Linked DNA regions of Arabidopsis thaliana. The protein of the gene in region 1 interacts with the protein of each later gene in a biochemical or structural test. Each region holds a gene or a part of one and is shown on either strand. Other genes may lie near its edges.

Region 1 (5,360 bases):
AATACTACATTGTTGACAATAAGTATCCGAATCTTCCTGGCTTTATCGCGCCGTATCACGGTGTTTCAACCAATTCAAGAGAAGAAGCAAAGGAAATGTTCAATGAGCGACACAAGTTGTTGCATCGAGCTATCCACCGGACTTTTGGGGCTTTGAAAGAACGGTTTCCGATTCTACTATCAGCTCCTCCGTATCCTCTACAAACGCAAGTGAAACTGGTGATTGCGGCTTGTGCATTGCACAACTATGTCCGCTTGGAGAAACCAGATGATTTAGTGTTTAGGATGTTTGAAGAAGAGACTCTGGCGGAAGCAGGAGAAGATAGAGAAGTGGCTTTAGAAGAGGAACAAGTAGAGATAGTGGGGCAGGAACATGGGTTTAGACCAGAAGAAGTTGAAGATAGTTTAAGGTTAAGAGATGAGATTGCATCTGAGCTTTGGAACCATTATGTCCAAAATATGTCAACCTTCTAAACTTTTTAGTTTTTTTTTAACAGGTTTCGTGTGTTTAGTCTGTTAGAAATGATATAAGTCAAATACCACTATTTATGTTTGTTGTATCAAATCAAATCAAATATATATATCCAAAACACCAAATGTATAACACACCGATCTCAGCAAAGTTGAAGACCAAAAGAAGAGTAAAATATCAAAAACAGAGCTTTTGAATCAAGAGATGTTAACTGCTTTTTGCTTTTTCGTAATCCATTTTCGCTTAGCGTTCTCTATTGCATCCTCTTTCAGTTTCAGCAGATCTTGGAAGGACTGGTTAAACTGTGACTCGATCAGGTTTAGTTCTGTCTTGAGATCTTCTGGGTAATCATTGTCTGAAATGGAAAGATTGTAAATGGTTGACATCATTGAGCAAGAATCCAGATACGAGCTCATCGACTCTGCATCTCGACCAGCTTCCATGGCAGCATTTCCGTCGTTTGCTGAGTAGGGAAAGTAATAGTCTGCTGATATGTCTGACTTCATTGATTGTCCTGCAGCTTCTTCATCTTTCGAGTTCACAGTTTGCTGATTTGCTGCTTCATGATCCTCATGGGTTAGACGTGGAGAGTTTTGGTTATGATGCGACGAGGTCCGGTCAGAGAGAAGTTGCATTATGAAGTCATCGATCATATCAGCTATCACAACGACCTCTTGGCTAGTTAAATGCAGTTCCTCAACCATTTCCTCAGCGATTGCTGTTGCTGTGTCTGACTCCAGATAGAATGCAAAGTGTACGATTCTACATTTACCTGTATTAGGGCATTGAATTGATTTTCAGTAAATGAAAACTGTGAGAGGAATGAATTGGATAGAAGATTTAATTTTATAAGACGAACCAGACGGGTCAGCAATACGGAGAACCATAGACGCTGTGACATCATCGCTCCTCTCACCTCTCAACCTGAACTCTTTATTCTCTGCAATCCTCTGAAGTTCAATGGTTTGGGACCATGGGTAGTCTTCGTTGCTTGAAACACTTTTATTCTCGTTATGATCCACATCCATGGGAAGATGTTCAAGCTGTGGTGGTCTCACATATTTAGATGATGTGCTTGATGAAGCAAGCAGAGCAGAGTCCTTGCCTCCATCCCTTGCAAGGAATGGGTCCTTCGAGAGCTCGAGGGCAGTTGGTCTGGAAGAGGCAGGAAGAAGACATTTCTCTATAAATTGCCTAACTTGAGGATCGTCAACTTTGCCAAGAGACTGAGGCTTTATGTTCTGCAAATGCAAAGTTTCAAACGGGAGCCCCATTGCATAGATAATTGATGAAAGTAAAGATTGTGAAAGACTTACCGAGGTGACCTTTTTATAAATTTGAGCCTGGTTTCTGCACTCGTTGTATGGATATTCACAGGTTACCATCTCCAACATACACATGCCAAAAGAATAGATGTCCACAAGCTCATTGTATTCCTCTTCATACAGTTCAGGTGCCATGAATTCAGGAGTACCTGATTACGCTCAAAGTTTTCAGTTACAGTAAAGTTTTCAGGGTCTAGGAAGGAAAATGGTTTATGGTGTATTACCTATCACACTTCGAGCAGTGGGCTGCTGCAGTACAGTTGCGAGCCCGAGATCTCCGATTTTGACCTCTCCAGTATTTCCATTGACAAATATATTGTCACACTTCAGATCCCGGTGAATTACCGGAGGGTTCTGAGAATGCAAATAGTTCAGGCCTTTGAGAATCTGCCTTGCCCAGTTCTTGATGGCCTTGGGATCAACCTTCCTATGCTTCTTACGATATCTTCACATCAAATGAAATGGTGTCAACCCATGTGATGCACAGGAAAAAAAAAAAGAATGAAGGATCATCAATACAAAAGAGAAGTGGGGGAGATACTTACACCCTGAGACTACCAGAGGTGAAAAGCTCAGTGATCATGTTAATAGTCTTGTTCTTTTCGTCAACCCAAGAGTAAAAGAGTTTGATGATGTTTTCATGTTTTAGAGCCTTTAGTAGATGAACTTCAGAATATAGCCTTTCAAGTTGACCAGGCATCTGCATTACATCTTCAATGCTAACTAGGTTCCAAGCAACTTCAATCCCGTCTACTTCGTCAAACGCCTTATATCTATACAAGAGTTAATAAACAAATCAGAATCACTTTCCTTTACAACTAAAAACATAAAAGCATAATAGGGTGTAGAAAACATACACAGTCTTGAAAGCTCCTCTCCCCAGAACATCATCATACTAAACAACAACAACAAAAAAAAAACGAATCGATCAATCACTATATGTTTTCCACCATACAAACTCGAAAAAATCAGCAATACAACATGATCTTAAGCTTGATTGTTCCAAATGTACAATTGTACATAGCTTAAAAGTCGAAAACACGTAACAATGAACAAAACACACATTGCTATAAACCAATAATCATCACCATACGATCAAAGTAACAGCCCTCATTAGGTAGAACTACAAAGAGAACTCATTAAACTAGGTCAAAATTCTCAAATTCTGATCAATTTCCTCATAATTCAACAATAAAAAACACTCAACCAAACGAGATTGAATGCAAATTCACACATGAATCAACGAAGACAGTGACGTACCCTGATGTAACGGCCAGAAGGATCTTTCTCGGCAAAATCAGCCTCTTCCATGGACGATATCTGACCTAAAAATCCAGAACCAGAAGCCATATATGTATGCACAACACAACAAACAAAGCAATCGAGAACAGAAGGAGAAGAAGAAAAAAGTGGAGAATTTAAGGTGAGATTGAAGATGAAAAGAAAGAAAGCTGAAGAGGACGGAGGTTATTACAAAGAAAAAGGTTATAAGAAGAAGAAATGGACGGAGGAGATACAATCGGAGAAAGCCTCACGAGCGAAGCAATAAGAATCGATTGAAGAAGTTCGAAATCGAGATCGGAAACGGAGTTTGGCGGCGAAAGAAATCCCCATCATCTCCGATTTTCCGATTTCCCGATCTCTTCTCCCGTCGTGATTCCGTCTCTTCTCTTTTATCCGATTAAATCCTTCCATTGATGATCCACCATGATTTTGATTTTGGTCCCCGAAAGAATCTGCTAGATCGATAGAGAAAAAACGAAGGATGATGATGATGATGAAATCAATGAAAGGAATTTCGGAGAAAGGGAATTTAGGAAGAACAAAACAAAAAAAGGTTGGCGGCCAAATAAATCGGAAAGTCAAATTATCTGTCTTTATCAACTAACGCACTTTCTCTTATATTTGAGATTATTCTACTAATTATGTATCCTCTGTTTTCATTTTATTTCAGCTGACTTTAGGCCATTTATGCAATTACATGTTTCAGGTTATGAATAATTTCTACTAATAAAACATTATGCTAGGTGCACCAAAAAAAAAACATTATGTAAATCCTCAGAAATACGATGTTATTTCCTTTGTTTCAAAATATAAAATGTTTAAAACAATCACACATATTAAGATCATTCTTTCTAAAAAATATTATTTATAGAATTAAAAATTTTAACTAATCATAAGAAAAAACTGCAGAATATAAATGATCACAAATTATCAAATACATTTAATTTTCATAGAAACTAACAAAATATTTTTTAATATTTAAAAGATAAACTTTTATAACATCTTATATTTTAATTAGAGGGAATAGTAATCTATTTAAAGTTTTTTTTCTGTGCATGGAAATCAAGAAATTGTGGAATCTAAATTCTATAAGTTTAATAAAAAGATATAGCTAGTTCAAATTTAATGAACCTTGGATAGTATAGCATTAATACGAAATCATTTTGTCGTTGAATAATATATTTTGTGTTAAAAGTCCAATTGCTTTTATTGAATAAGTTGGTGAGACAGAGTGTGTGATGAAGAAAAGAAAAAACAAAAAAATTGTAAGTTTGTCTTAAAAAACCAACGAGGCTTAATCGTGTTTATTGTAATCATTAGGTGAATCTAAATCTAATCCTCATCAAGTTGAAAATATGAGAAGAACAAAAAACTGATAATTTTAGATATTTATTCGAAGATGTTTTTTAAAATGGTATTTTATTCGAAATATTTTTCACGGAAGCACTGGATGGAAAATTTGGTAGCAAAAAAAAAAGGATTTCGAAATTTGGCAGCTAAAATTTGTTCAAAAATAAAATGAAATAACTCTTACTAATATGGTCAAGAATTAACTTCAGAACATATTTTGAAAATGTAAATTAAATTATCGGATGAAAAGGTACGGGTCGGGTCGGAAAACCGGTGTGTTTTGTAATGGGCCTCTATGTAAGCTGACAAGAAAAGTCCAATAAATTAAAAATATGAGTCGTCGTGGTTTATCGAGTGACGCGTTGAGAGTCTTGAGACAGAGTTACTGATAATCATTGTTTTAGGCTAAGATCGGTGAGCCACCCAACCACCTTCCTATTTTAATTTAATGCTTCTTTTTAAAAAAATTGTAGAAAATAAAAAGCCCAGAAAGAGCCCAAAGAACGCAGCAGAGAAAAAAAAAACAAAGAAGAAAGAAAACTTGCTCAACGACGATTCATCAATCATCATCTCCGATCTTCTTCCAAATCCCTCCGGTGAAAAAGACGATGTACGTAAGAGCACTTCCGACGACGGATGTGAATCGGAACACAGAGTGGTTCACATATCCTGGTGTTTGGACTACTTATATTCTCATCCTCTTCTTCTCTTGGCTCCTCGTTCTCTCCGTCTTCCATTGTTCTCCTGGCATCGCTTGGACCATTGTTCATCTCGCTCATTTCACCGTATTATTCCCGATCTCCTCCGATCCAATTTCGAAATTGTTGGTTTCTAGATTTGAATTTTTGAGTTTTTTTGTTTTCTAGGTCACGTATCATTCCTTCCATTGGAAGAAGGGAACACCATTTGGAGATGATCAAGGAGTCTATA
Region 2 (3,802 bases), on another chromosome or scaffold:
CTCTCTCAAATAACACTGTAAGTTGCTCATCTCTAACACTAGATAGAGTCACAGTATCTTCATTAAAAGAGTGAAACGGTAGACTTAGAGGGGGTCCAAATATCTCTCTTGTAAAATCATAACAGAGTAAGAACTCAGGGAGATGCTTTTGTTGAGTATTTCCCTTGAGAGACACGCCACGTGCAGAAAACTGTATCTCCCAGTTCGCAGAGTTAATGTTAGGGATAGTAATATTCATCCGTGGTTTAGAGGAGTTGAGGACTTGAGGTAGTAGAGTTCATACTGTACGTATCCGTAACAAGGTTCACTAAATCCCTTGGAAGATTGGCCATCATCATCTCAAGGATCATAAATAAGTTAGGTTAATGCTTCAGAAGATACTCTCCTCTGCTTCCGGTGGTTACAAATTTGAAGACAAAGAAACCCACCCTAACTGAATTGGGCCAATCATGGGCTTTAGAAATCTAATAGGCTTGTAATGTGGCCGGTGAAAGAGATAAGAGTGATATATTATAGGGATGAATTGTGAAGATTGAACCTCAATAAGACCAATCGGAAGATCACGAAGGTAAGTGTAATCAAAATCGTGACCTTTTGATATATAGTGATATGATAATCAATGGATTGTTTTTTTCTCTTCTGGAAATTAAACAAAAATTGCCAAAATAGAGGTTTGCGAGAGACTAATACAATACTGACGCAGTCTGGAAAAATTAAAAGCAGCTAAACTTTTTTCCGGAGATTTCGTGACTTCTTCTTCATCTTGTTGTGTCTCTAGTAACGACCAATACCCCAGACCCTGACAACTCCATCAGTGTAACCACTGAACAATGTGCTTCCATCTGCACTCCAGTTCAAGCTTGTGCAGTAGATAACCTGCATTTTCATTACACATTCCCATTAGATACCATTATCAATCTCTTCCTATATGTTAACATCAAAGTCAAAACCTTTGGAGCAGAGCAACATTTAAAGAATAAAATTCCTAGTTTCAAAGCTAATGGGTAAGGGAAAAGATTTCCTACATGCAATTTCTAACCAAAATTTCACTTTTTTTTTGTCATAACCAAAGATAATTTCATCACTACTTTTGGTGCATTCACTAACCTATCAATAGAGAACCAATTACTATAGTGAAATCATAAGATAATGACGTACCTTCTTCTGGTTACCAGTTCCAACACCACCTTCATTCTTCTCTGCCTCAGACTTGAGATCAACCTTCAAGTCCTCAACAACAGACTTGCTCTCAAGATCCCAAATCCTAATGCTATTCTCAGTAGCAGCACACAACCAGTATCTGTTAGGACTGAAGCAAAGCGAGTGAATAATCGAACCCGCCTCAAGCGAGTAAAGCTTCTTTCCTTCAGCCAAATCCCACAACAAGATAACACCATCTTTCCCACCACTGGCGCATAGCGAACCATCAGGCGAGACAGCAACAGTGTTGAGGTAACCAGAGTGACCAACAAGAGAGTTCCTCAGCTTACAGTTCTGGAGATTCCAAACTTTCACAGTTTTATCCCAAGAAGCAGATACAATAGTTGGTACAAGAGTATTAGGACTAAACCTAACACAACTAACCCATTCCTTGTGACCATCACCTTCAGAGATGGTATACTTACACTCACCAAGTGTGTTCCAAAGCTTAATCGTACGATCACGAGAAGCAGACACGATCTGCCGGTTATCAGTAGAGAATGCAACAGAGAGCACATCTTTCGTATGACCAACGAATCGACGAGTTGTTTCTCCCGTGGCAAGATCCCAGAGACGGAGCTCACCGTCCCAGCTTCCGGAGAGTGCAAACTGACCGTCCGATGAGAGAACAACATCTTCCACGAAGTGAGAGTGACCTGTGAGCCTACGCTGAGCAACACCGTAAGACTTATCGTCCTTTGTGAGTTTCCAGAGGATGATGGATTTGTCACGCGACGCTGTGACGATGATGTCGGAATTGTCGATCGGCGTAGCGATGGCCGTGACAATGTCGGTGTGGGCGCGCATAATGCCCTTCAATACGAGTCCCTCGGCCATGGTTTGAGGTTTTCGGGTTTCTTCTTCTTACTCACGAAAATGGCGTAACAGAGCGAGAGATTACGAGGTCGATTGAAATGTTTGGTATTTATACTCTAGGTCTAAAAATGAATCAAATTAGGGTTTAGTGTGGTTTCTGCGAGGAGACTGGCTCATTTGGGCCGGAGTTTCCGAGTCAGGTATAAATGGGCCTCTTCTGAAATAAATTTTGTTGGAGCATTTTTGTTGTGATATAGTTGAGAAATGTTTGATCAGAGAGGGAACATAAGAGCAATTTGAACGAATTCGATTGAAATGTACAAGAGTTTACTAAAACACAAATAACACAATCGTAGTTTGTTCATAATTTAGCTTTGATTCTTATTAAGGTTTTAATCGTGAAGTGCACAGCACACAGTGGCTTTGTGATGACCTTGGTACACTTTCACTTCTTTGCCTGCTGGCATCGACCACAATCTAGCCGTCATGTCCGATGATGCTGTACAACATCATAGAAACCCGTTTAAAGATTGTTCTGATATGTTTTTCAGTGGTTTAAGTTAAGACAGAGATTAGTACCTGTTACAAGAAATTCTCCATCCACTGAGAAGACGCAGTCCCAAACCCATCTTTGATGTCCTGTTATATAAGATTTGATGATAGTGTAAGAGACGATAATGGAGAATGAATGCTGTTGACAGTAACATGGAGAACATACCTGTTAAAACTTTCTCTAGTTTAAAACCATCGACGTTCCATATTTTGACAGTTTTATCAGATGATGCAGTCGCTAGATATCTGCTAACAAATATGTAAGAGCTTCGAAAAGGAGAGGATGAAGAAAACGGTTAAAAGAGAAAGTATAAGAAACATGTTACTTGTTTGCAGGAGAGAGGAGACATTTAAGGATGTGGCCATTATGAGCTTGCAGCTTATGAAGGGGCTCAAACTCTGTCATTGTCTGTAAAAGATTTTGAATTTTTAAATGGCATGGACAATTAGAGTAATGCGACTACAACATGGTTAAACAAAAGAAAGGTTTGCATATCAGGAACACTACCTGTTTTCCACGCAACAAGCGCCATACATAACATGTTCCACGGTTGTTAGCAGCGACTACCATTGTCCCATCCCACATAACAGTTAAAGACCGTACAGCTGTATCAACTTCTGGTACCTATAGTTAACCTCAAGTGATTATCTACGGATTTTCAGAAATGAAATGAAGACGTGTCAAAGGCAATTACCAGTTCACAGCTACACGAATTTGCTCTGAGATCCCATACACGTATATTTCCATTTTGGTCTCCAGATATCAATTCAGTCTGTACAAAAAAAAAAAACAAAGTTCATAATAAAGACTAAGGAAATAGTTCATAATAACAGCTGAGACAACTACCAAAATCACAGCAGTTTCAACAGTAGCAATACAACAACTCTCTTAAACATAAAACGAAGCTGATTCCCACAGCACAACAATAACAGATGACTTCATGTACCTGATTTGGGTGTAAAACAACTGTATTAACCGCTGCAACACTTTCATACTCCTTTTGGCAACCCGGAGCCCTGCATTTTGGTTTACGAGTCAACAAGAATACAATTTAGAACGTTCTTAGTATTTTTCGTAACTTTATATTCAATATCTCCTTATCCTTTCCCAGAATCCACACTTGAATAAATCTATAAACTTTTAGCTAAAGATGAAGATGACATGATATACCTTAAGTCCCAGATCTTAACTGTGCCATCTTCTGATCCTGAATACATCCATTTTGCATCACAT
Region 3 (7,781 bases), about 13 Mb from region 1:
CTAGAAATTTTAGAGGGGTGTATATAGTGTGCTATTTTCGTGATAAAAGTAAATAATGCATCCAAAATTCAAAGTGGATCATTAACACGTTTTGGTATATACATCACAATTTGTCAAACCCGTAATTAATTGCGCCAAACAAGAAAAAATGATCTTATGGGGCAAAAGTAAATCACATATATGGCAGTGGGAAGAAAAAAGGAGATTATATTTTTCCCCTAAAATAGACTAAAGTAACAAACCTAAATTTCTCTGGAAAGAATTATATCATAAAACCTCGAAGCCGACAAAAACTAAGAAAAAAAAAAACAATTTACCGAAGAAAGAATATTATTAAAAAATACAGGAACAAGGAGAGAGAAATGTGTTATAAAGGATAAAGCCCACTAAAGGTCATTCACTTATCTAACTGTATACTATTATTTTCTTCGAGGCAATATATAAAATTTACTTGATCTAGTAATTTATTTTCACTAAGGTTTAGTATTCTTATACATTTGTATAATAGTTAACACAACTTAACGATACTTACTTCTAATATGTATCAACACGTACGTACAGAGCCACGTAAAGAAAAAAAACACACACACAATCGCTGTCGAACAGTTAAATCCCGAATCTAGATTTGTATTAGTTATCTAATCGTATTATTGTTAATTCCGAAAGTAGAGTCAACATCCAATTAATTGCTTTATCAAATATCGAATATGCAAAAGGTCTAAAGAAAAACAAAGTTTTTTTTTGTTGTTAAACTTTGCTTACATCATAGGTATCCCATTAGGTTGGTGTACCATGTGATGATTCTACCACCGAAAAAACAGAAGCCAATATTAAAAAATACATCTATATAGTACATGTACAATAACAATAATTAAGGATTATTGTATTATATTTTAAGAAAAAAACTAAATAGGGTTATGTGAACCAGACTTTTTTTAACACTTTTACTGTGGTAAACTTTGGAAAGGGAAAAAAGAGTGTTAGGGTTAATATATGTATATATAATTCATTTATTGGGGAAATGGGCTCATCTAGGGTAACATCACCTACCCATACAATTTTATCATGCTTTTAGGGCTTTTATTTATCTCACTGGTCCCTCAATTCCTCCACTCTCTCTTCCCTTCGCGTGAACAACACGCTCCAATGTCTCCCCTTCGTATGTGCCGACGCTCCTTACCTCTCCGCGCCACGGACGAAACGTGCCCACACGCGAAAAGTAAACGCCGTGACATCCACGCGCCTAGGGTTTTCTTTTCATCAGGACACAAGTGAAAAATGGGTTGTGATAAGAACCGCACATTGCGGCCACGTGGTTAATTCTCATTGGTTTCTTGTGCCCCATCCTATCACACACAAAAACGTCTAATACGATTTAAATAAAAATCGGGTTCTTTCCTAATATAAAGAAAAACACTGAGATCTTTTACTTAATCTTGTTGTTTAATTTCTGGATACTGTTCCCCTAAGCCAGCTATTTTCTACTAATGCTCAGATTTCTTTCTTAACTAAACATATGCATAAAATTTTCTCCTTTTATTCACTTTTGACAGATACAGAGATACAAAGAACAGATACAGAGATGTACAAATACAGATACGTGTACACAATAGAAGTAAAAAGATACGTAACTTTGTTTCGTGTAATTGGAAATAGGCAGACCAGATGGTGACATGGCATTGTCATGTTCCATAGATGAGTTGTTCTTTTTTTAATATAAAATTATTACAATAAATTAATAAAAAGATTATTTTATTGAAATTAAAACCCTTATATCGACGCAAAGCCAAACAAAAAAAAAACCCTCATTTCAAGGATAAGAGAGCTCCACTTTCTCTCTCCTCTCCTTTCTCCAACAGTCTCTCTCTACAAGCCATAGGAAAAAAAAAAAAGTCCCCCTTTCTCTCTCCCTCCCCTTTCGTCTTAGGGTTTCTCGAAAATTCGCAGTCAAATTCTACTCATCTCCCGACGAATCCATCCTTCAAGCTCATCTAATCTTCTTCTCCGTAGCTTTCTCAATCTACCGATATAGTTTTTATCCCTTGCCGCTTAAGATCGAGCTCGAATCTCGCAACCCCTTTTAATCCCTAATTTCTGGTCGGATTAACCCAGGTGCGTTGTTTCCGACATGAATCTCAGATGTGTTTCGATTTAAGGTTTGAGCTAAGGTTTGATCTTGTTGGGTTGAGATTTGGTCTGACTTGTAGCTGACTTCGTGTCTTTTAAGCTTCACTGTTCATTTATACGTCTATCTTCCTCGGAAACTCTTGATGTTCTTACTTTTTTTTTTTTTTTTTTTTTTTGGGGTTTCGTCTTCACGGACTATTCACGTGCGGATAGATCTGACCCGTATTAATTGGTGGGTCTTGGTTAATCTTTGTTAATCACATACGGTTAATTTAAGTGGTTTATTATCTTTTAATTTTGTTCTAATTTTGATTTTAAACCCTAAATTACGCTGATTAATAATTTGACCTTTCTTGGGTTTTGTAATTCCGAAATTATATTGAATCTGGTCCGATCTTCTTTTTTCTTTTGCTGGTCATGTAGATAAGGTTACAGCTTTGGGGTTTCTCGTCTGTCTGAAAAACCCTAATTTTAGGTCGTCTAAGTTTAGGTTTACTTACATGTTAATTGTTAAATGTATAAAATTCACTTGCACGATTAATTTTTTGTTATATTAGCGTAATTGAATTGAGATGCTAGTATAGAATTTCATTCTTGATTTTATGTAGACCTTAGGGTTTAATTTTTTTTTATTTGCCGTGTAATTGTGAAGTTTGATGTTGGTTATGAATGTTATTTTATGTGGGATATTCATGTGAAATGCTTTAACACTATGTTATAGATTAGTTATATTTATTGCTTGAATAAATTTAGAGTTATATTTGGTGTCGTATATATGGAAAGTTAAGATTTATGTCTTGATATACAACAATAATGTGATCATTAAGCACAATTATACGATGTGTTATATAACTTGTTTTGATGTGTTGCTTTTGTAGCTCTAGTTGCGGAGAGAGTATAATGGTGTATGAAAGTTAATCATCACTGAGGCATAGTATCTATCTCCTTCAAGCAAATCAATGGGATCTTCCATCAAGATCAACTCAATATCCATAGATCTCGCAGGTGCTGCCAACGAGATTGATATGGTGAAATGTGATCATTTTTCCATGCGGTGAGTATAGTTTGTTGACCTTATATCATCAACCTCTCTTGCTAGAGTATGTTTATATAGTAGCAAGCTACAAGATGAAATGACATGAATAACCAGTTTTTCTTCTCTGCAGTGGATTCGTAGCTGAAACTCGTGAGAGAGACCTTAGAAAATGTTGGCCGTTTTCAGAAGAGAGTGTTAGTTTAGTAGACCAACAAAGCTATACTCTTCCTACTTTATCTGTTCCAAAGTTTAGATGGTGGCATTGTATGAGCTGCATCAAAGATATAGATGCTCATGGGCCAAAAGGTATATCACATTTCCAATATTGTTTTTTATGTGTCTAAAGACGTGTCTACTTGAACTTATGCATTTTGAGTTGCTTGCAGATTGTGGACTGCATTCAAACTCAAAAGCTATTGGAAACTCTTCTGTTATCGAAAGTAAAAGCAAGTTCAATTCGCTAACTATCATTGATCACGAGAAAGAAAAGAAAACTGATATTGCAGGTATGCATCTGCTGAGTCTTGGTTCAGTTTCATAATCCATAGCAAAATCTTAATCATTTTGTATTATCATGTTTTTCAGATAATGCTATTGAGGAGAAAGTGGGTGTAAACTGTGAGAATGATGATCAGACAGGTAAAGTTTTCTCTGGTCAAGCAAATTATGTTTTCTCTGATGATCTCATGATGCGGAATACTAATTTCTTAAAGCTTCAACAACTGCAGCTACTACGTTTCTCAAGAAAGCACGTGGTCGACCTATGGGTGCTTCTAATGTTAGGAGCAAGAGCAGAAAGCTTGTGAGTCCGGAGCAGGTAGGAAACAACAGATCTAAAGAAAAACTAAACAAACCATCGATGGATATTAGCAGCTGGAAAGAGAAACAAAATGTGGATCAGGCTGTGACAACGTTCGGCTCATCTGAAATTGCTGGTGTGGTTGAGGATACACCACCTAAGGCAACCAAGAATCATAAAGGCATTCGCGGTCTGATGGAATGCGATAACGGGTCATCAGAAAGTATAAATCTTGCTATGAGTGGGTTGCAGCGTAGGAAATCTCGCAAGGTTCGTCTACTCAGTGAGTTGCTTGGTAATACAAAAACCAGTGGTGGTAGTAACATCAGAAAAGAAGAGTCTGCTTTGAAGAAGGAATCAGTTAGAGGTCGAAAAAGAAAGTTGTTACCTGAAAACAATTATGTCAGCCGGATATTGAGTACAATGGGTGCAACCTCTGAAAATGCTTCCAAAAGTTGTGACTCTGATCAAGGTAATAGTGAATCAACTGATAGTGGGTTTGACAGAACTCCATTTAAGGGTAAGCAGAGAAACAGAAGATTTCAGGTTGTTGACGAGTTTGTACCATCACTTCCTTGTGAAACTTCACAAGAAGGTATCAAGGAGCATGATGCAGATCCTAGTAAGAGATCAACTCCTGCGCACTCTTTATTCACTGGAAACGATTCTGTTCCTTGTCCTCCGGGTACTCAGAGAACAGAGAGGAAGCTCAGTTTACCCAAGAAGAAGACAAAGAAGCCTGTAATCGATAATGGGAAGAGCACTGTGATCAGTTTTAGTAACGGCATTGATGGAAGTCAAGTTAACTCGCATACTGGTCCTTCCATGAACACAGTATCCCAAACTCGAGACTTATTGAATGGGAAAAGGGTGGGCGGTTTATTTGACAACCGTTTGGCTTCAGATGGATATTTCAGAAAATATCTCTCTCAGGTTAATGATAAGCCGATAACATCTTTGCATTTGCAAGACAATGATTATGTGAGGTCAAGAGACGCGGAACCAAACTGTCTTCGAGATTTTAGTTCCTCTTCTAAATCCAGCTCAGGTGGATGGTTGAGAACTGGAGTAGATATTGTTGACTTCAGAAACAACAACCACAATACAAACAGATCGTCTTTCTCGAACTTGAAGCTAAGATACCCCCCTTCTTCTACTGAAGTTGCGGATTTATCTCGGGTGCTGCAAAAGGTACAAGCTTTGCATCTATTTTTCTTCAATCGCCATGCTTTCTCATTCTGTTTTCCAACTTGCACCTATTCTTGTATATTCCAAACTGGTGTGCTTCAGTGATTGGATCAGGATGATAACGGGATTGATTTACTTGGCAGGATGCTTCTGGTGCAGATAGAAAGGGGAAGACTGTTATGGTCCAAGAACATCATGGAGCACCAAGAAGCCAAAGTCACGATAGAAAGGAGACTACGACTGAAGAGCAAAACAACGATGATATTCCAATGGAGATAGTGGAGCTCATGGCCAAAAACCAGTACGAGAGGTGTCTTCCCGACAAAGAAGAAGATGTTAGCAACAAACAGCCATCACAAGAAACAGCACACAAATCCAAGAATGCTCTACTGATTGATCTCAATGAAACCTACGATAACGGGATCTCACTTGAGGACAACAACACATCAAGACCACCAAAACCGTGTAGTAGCAACGCAAGGAGGGAAGAACATTTTCCTATGGGAAGACAGCAGAACTCTCATGACTTCTTCCCAATAAGTCAGCCTTATGTGCCTTCTCCGTTTGGGATCTTTCCTCCTACCCAAGAAAACCGAGCCAGCTCCATCCGGTTTTCTGGTCACAACTGTCAGTGGCTTGGGAATTTGCCAACTGTGGGTAATCAGAACCCTTCTCCATCCTCATTTCGGGTATTACGTGCTTGTGATACTTGCCAGAGTGTTCCTAATCAATACAGAGAAGCTTCTCATCCAATTTGGCCATCTTCCATGATACCACCACAGAGTCAATACAAGCCAGTTTCTTTAAATATTAATCAGTCAACAAATCCGGGTACGCTTTCACAGGCATCTAACAATGAAAATACATGGAACCTCAACTTTGTTGCTGCCAACGGGAAGCAAAAATGTGGGCCTAATCCAGAATTTTCATTTGGCTGCAAACATGCTGCTGGGGTTAGTAGTAGTAGTAGTAGGCCAATAGATAACTTTTCTAGTGAGAGCTCTATACCGGCATTGCATCTACTCAGCCTTCTGGATCCTCGCCTGAGGTCAACGACTCCCGCTGACCAACACGGAAACACTAAATTTACTAAAAGACATTTTCCGCCAGCCAACCAGTCCAAAGAGTTTATAGAGCTTCAAACAGGGGACTCTAGTAAGTCAGCCTACTCAACTAAGCAGATACCTTTTGATCTATACAGCAAGAGATTCACACAAGAGCCTTCCCGGAAGAGTTTCCCCATCACTCCACCTATTGGGACGTCTTCACTTTCATTTCAAAATGCTTCATGGAGTCCTCATCATCAAGAGAAGAAAACCAAGAGAAAAGACACCTTTGCTCCTGTTTACAATACTCATGAAAAGCCGGTGTTTGCAAGCAGCAACGACCAAGCGAAGTTCCAGCTGCTGGGAGCATCGAATTCCATGATGCTTCCTTTGAAATTTCACATGACGGATAAAGAAAAGAAACAAAAGAGAAAAGCAGAGAGCTGCAATAACAATGCCTCTGCGGGACCTGTGAAGAACAGTTCTGGACCCATTGTGTGCAGCGTCAATAGAAACCCTGCTGATTTCACCATTCCTGAACCTGGGAATGTTTACATGTTAACGGGTGAACATCTGAAAGTCCGTAAACGCACAACCTTCAAGAAAAAGCCAGCCGTGTGTAAGCAGGACGCAATGAAGCAGACCAAGAAGCCGGTTTGTCCACCTACACAAAATGCCTAAAGATATACAATGTGTGTGGGAGGGATTTGTGCAGGTAAGTTGCTAGGACTATCTGTTTCTAATTCTTTAGTTTTGGGATTTACTTGGTTCGTCTGAAATCAATGACTTAAAGAAATCTGCACCTTACTAAGTGTTTCTTTTTGCATTTACATTAGTTAGAACTGCAAAAGGTTAGGTTTTATGTTAAAGCCTAGGGTTTAGAACAGAGTTTTATCAGTCTCTTCATCAAATCTTTGTCTCCAGCTCTAACAAAACAATTTTCTCTTTAGTTCATTGTGAAACAGATACTGAGGCAGAGGGATTAACAGATGGAGAGGGATACAAAGAGAGGGAGAGAGACAGAGACAGAGAAAGAGAAAGAGAGATCATTCCTATTGAAAACAAGAATAAGTCAGACAGGAAACATTAAAATGCAAATCTTCCTCATGTTCTTGGTCTCTGGTCTTAAAAACATATCTTTGCTTATGGTTTGTTCAAGCATACTTGGGAACCATTCAGCTTGTGTATATATTTAAATGACTGTAGTACCCCTGATAGGCCTTGTTGTTTTTTGTTTGTTTTTTTGGGAAATACTAGATACCTTTCAGCTGGCGTTATATATATATTTAGTCTTTATTTATACTGTTGTGTTTAAATGTCTCTGTCAGGCCAGCCAACTTCTCCAAACCTAAGAGAAACCCTCTTAAGTCTTAACACATTTTTAATCCAAAAAAGACTCTAACTGAAGATTCCGTAAATTAAATCTCTAGTCTGAAGAAAAATCTGCAAAACAACTTTTACATCAATTAAAAAGCTTAGAGTGCTACAGAAACGCTTAAGGTTACTTTTCAACTTCTTAATTTACTTAAGAATACATTGAAATTAAGTTGGGTATGTTGTTGATTCCATGCAACTCCGAGTTTTC

What was found. Proteins that work in one complex are often made in the same cells at the same time.
Region 2: of the proteins of WNK8 (region 1) and RACK1C_AT, one has a biochemical effect on the other in vitro, tested with the Arabidopsis thaliana proteins (one study listed by BioGRID).
Region 3: the proteins of WNK8 (region 1) and EMF1 form a complex in vitro, tested with the Arabidopsis thaliana proteins (one study listed by BioGRID).

The regions. Positions count from the first base shown.
Region 1 is NC_003076.8:16,794,417-16,799,776, forward strand, and holds WNK8 (with no lysine (K) kinase 8), read right to left. Parts: upstream 3,591-5,360; 5' UTR 3,147-3,590; coding exon 3,057-3,146; intron 2,692-3,056; coding exon 2,654-2,691; intron 2,570-2,653; coding exon 2,342-2,569; intron 2,242-2,341; coding exon 2,021-2,241; intron 1,946-2,020; coding exon 1,788-1,945; intron 1,713-1,787; coding exon 1,331-1,712; intron 1,244-1,330; coding exon 669-1,243; 3' UTR 551-668; downstream 1-550. Other genes in the region: AT5G41980 (nuclease), read left to right, coding at 1-473; AT5G42000 (ORMDL family protein), read left to right, coding at 5,039-5,215, 5,297-5,360. UniProt on the Arabidopsis thaliana protein: Regulates flowering time by modulating the photoperiod pathway. Phosphorylates the vacuolar ATPase subunit C (VATC) and RGS1. Regulates EDM2 that, in turn, modulates development processes.
Region 2 is NC_003074.8:6,210,335-6,214,136, forward strand, and holds RACK1C_AT (receptor for activated C kinase 1C), read right to left. Parts: upstream 2,218-3,802; 5' UTR 2,038-2,217; coding exon 1,159-2,037; intron 877-1,158; coding exon 775-876; 3' UTR 544-774; downstream 1-543. Other genes in the region: AT3G18120 (F-box associated ubiquitination effector family protein), read right to left, coding at 1-238; LST8-1 (Transducin/WD40 repeat-like superfamily protein), read right to left, coding at 2,409-2,515, 2,596-2,655, 2,735-2,814, 2,895-2,977, 3,077-3,193, 3,264-3,341, 3,516-3,585, 3,740-3,802. UniProt on the Arabidopsis thaliana protein: Minor component of the RACK1 regulatory proteins that play a role in multiple signal transduction pathways. Involved in multiple hormone responses and developmental processes.
Region 3 is NC_003076.8:3,694,054-3,701,834, forward strand, and holds EMF1 (embryonic flower 1 (EMF1)), read left to right. Parts: upstream 1-1,738; 5' UTR 1,739-2,112; exon of another isoform or gene 2,113-2,359; intron 2,360-3,005; 5' UTR 3,006-3,086; coding exon 3,087-3,181; intron 3,182-3,293; coding exon 3,294-3,469; intron 3,470-3,549; coding exon 3,550-3,669; intron 3,670-3,748; coding exon 3,749-3,802; intron 3,803-3,891; coding exon 3,892-5,153; intron 5,154-5,293; coding exon 5,294-6,877; 3' UTR 6,878-6,911; exon of another isoform or gene 6,912-7,146; 3' UTR 7,147-7,496; downstream 7,497-7,781. UniProt on the Arabidopsis thaliana protein: Transcription repressor that regulates phase transition during shoot, flower and seeds development. Controls leaves development, shoot architecture and flowering by delaying both the vegetative to reproductive transition and flower initiation.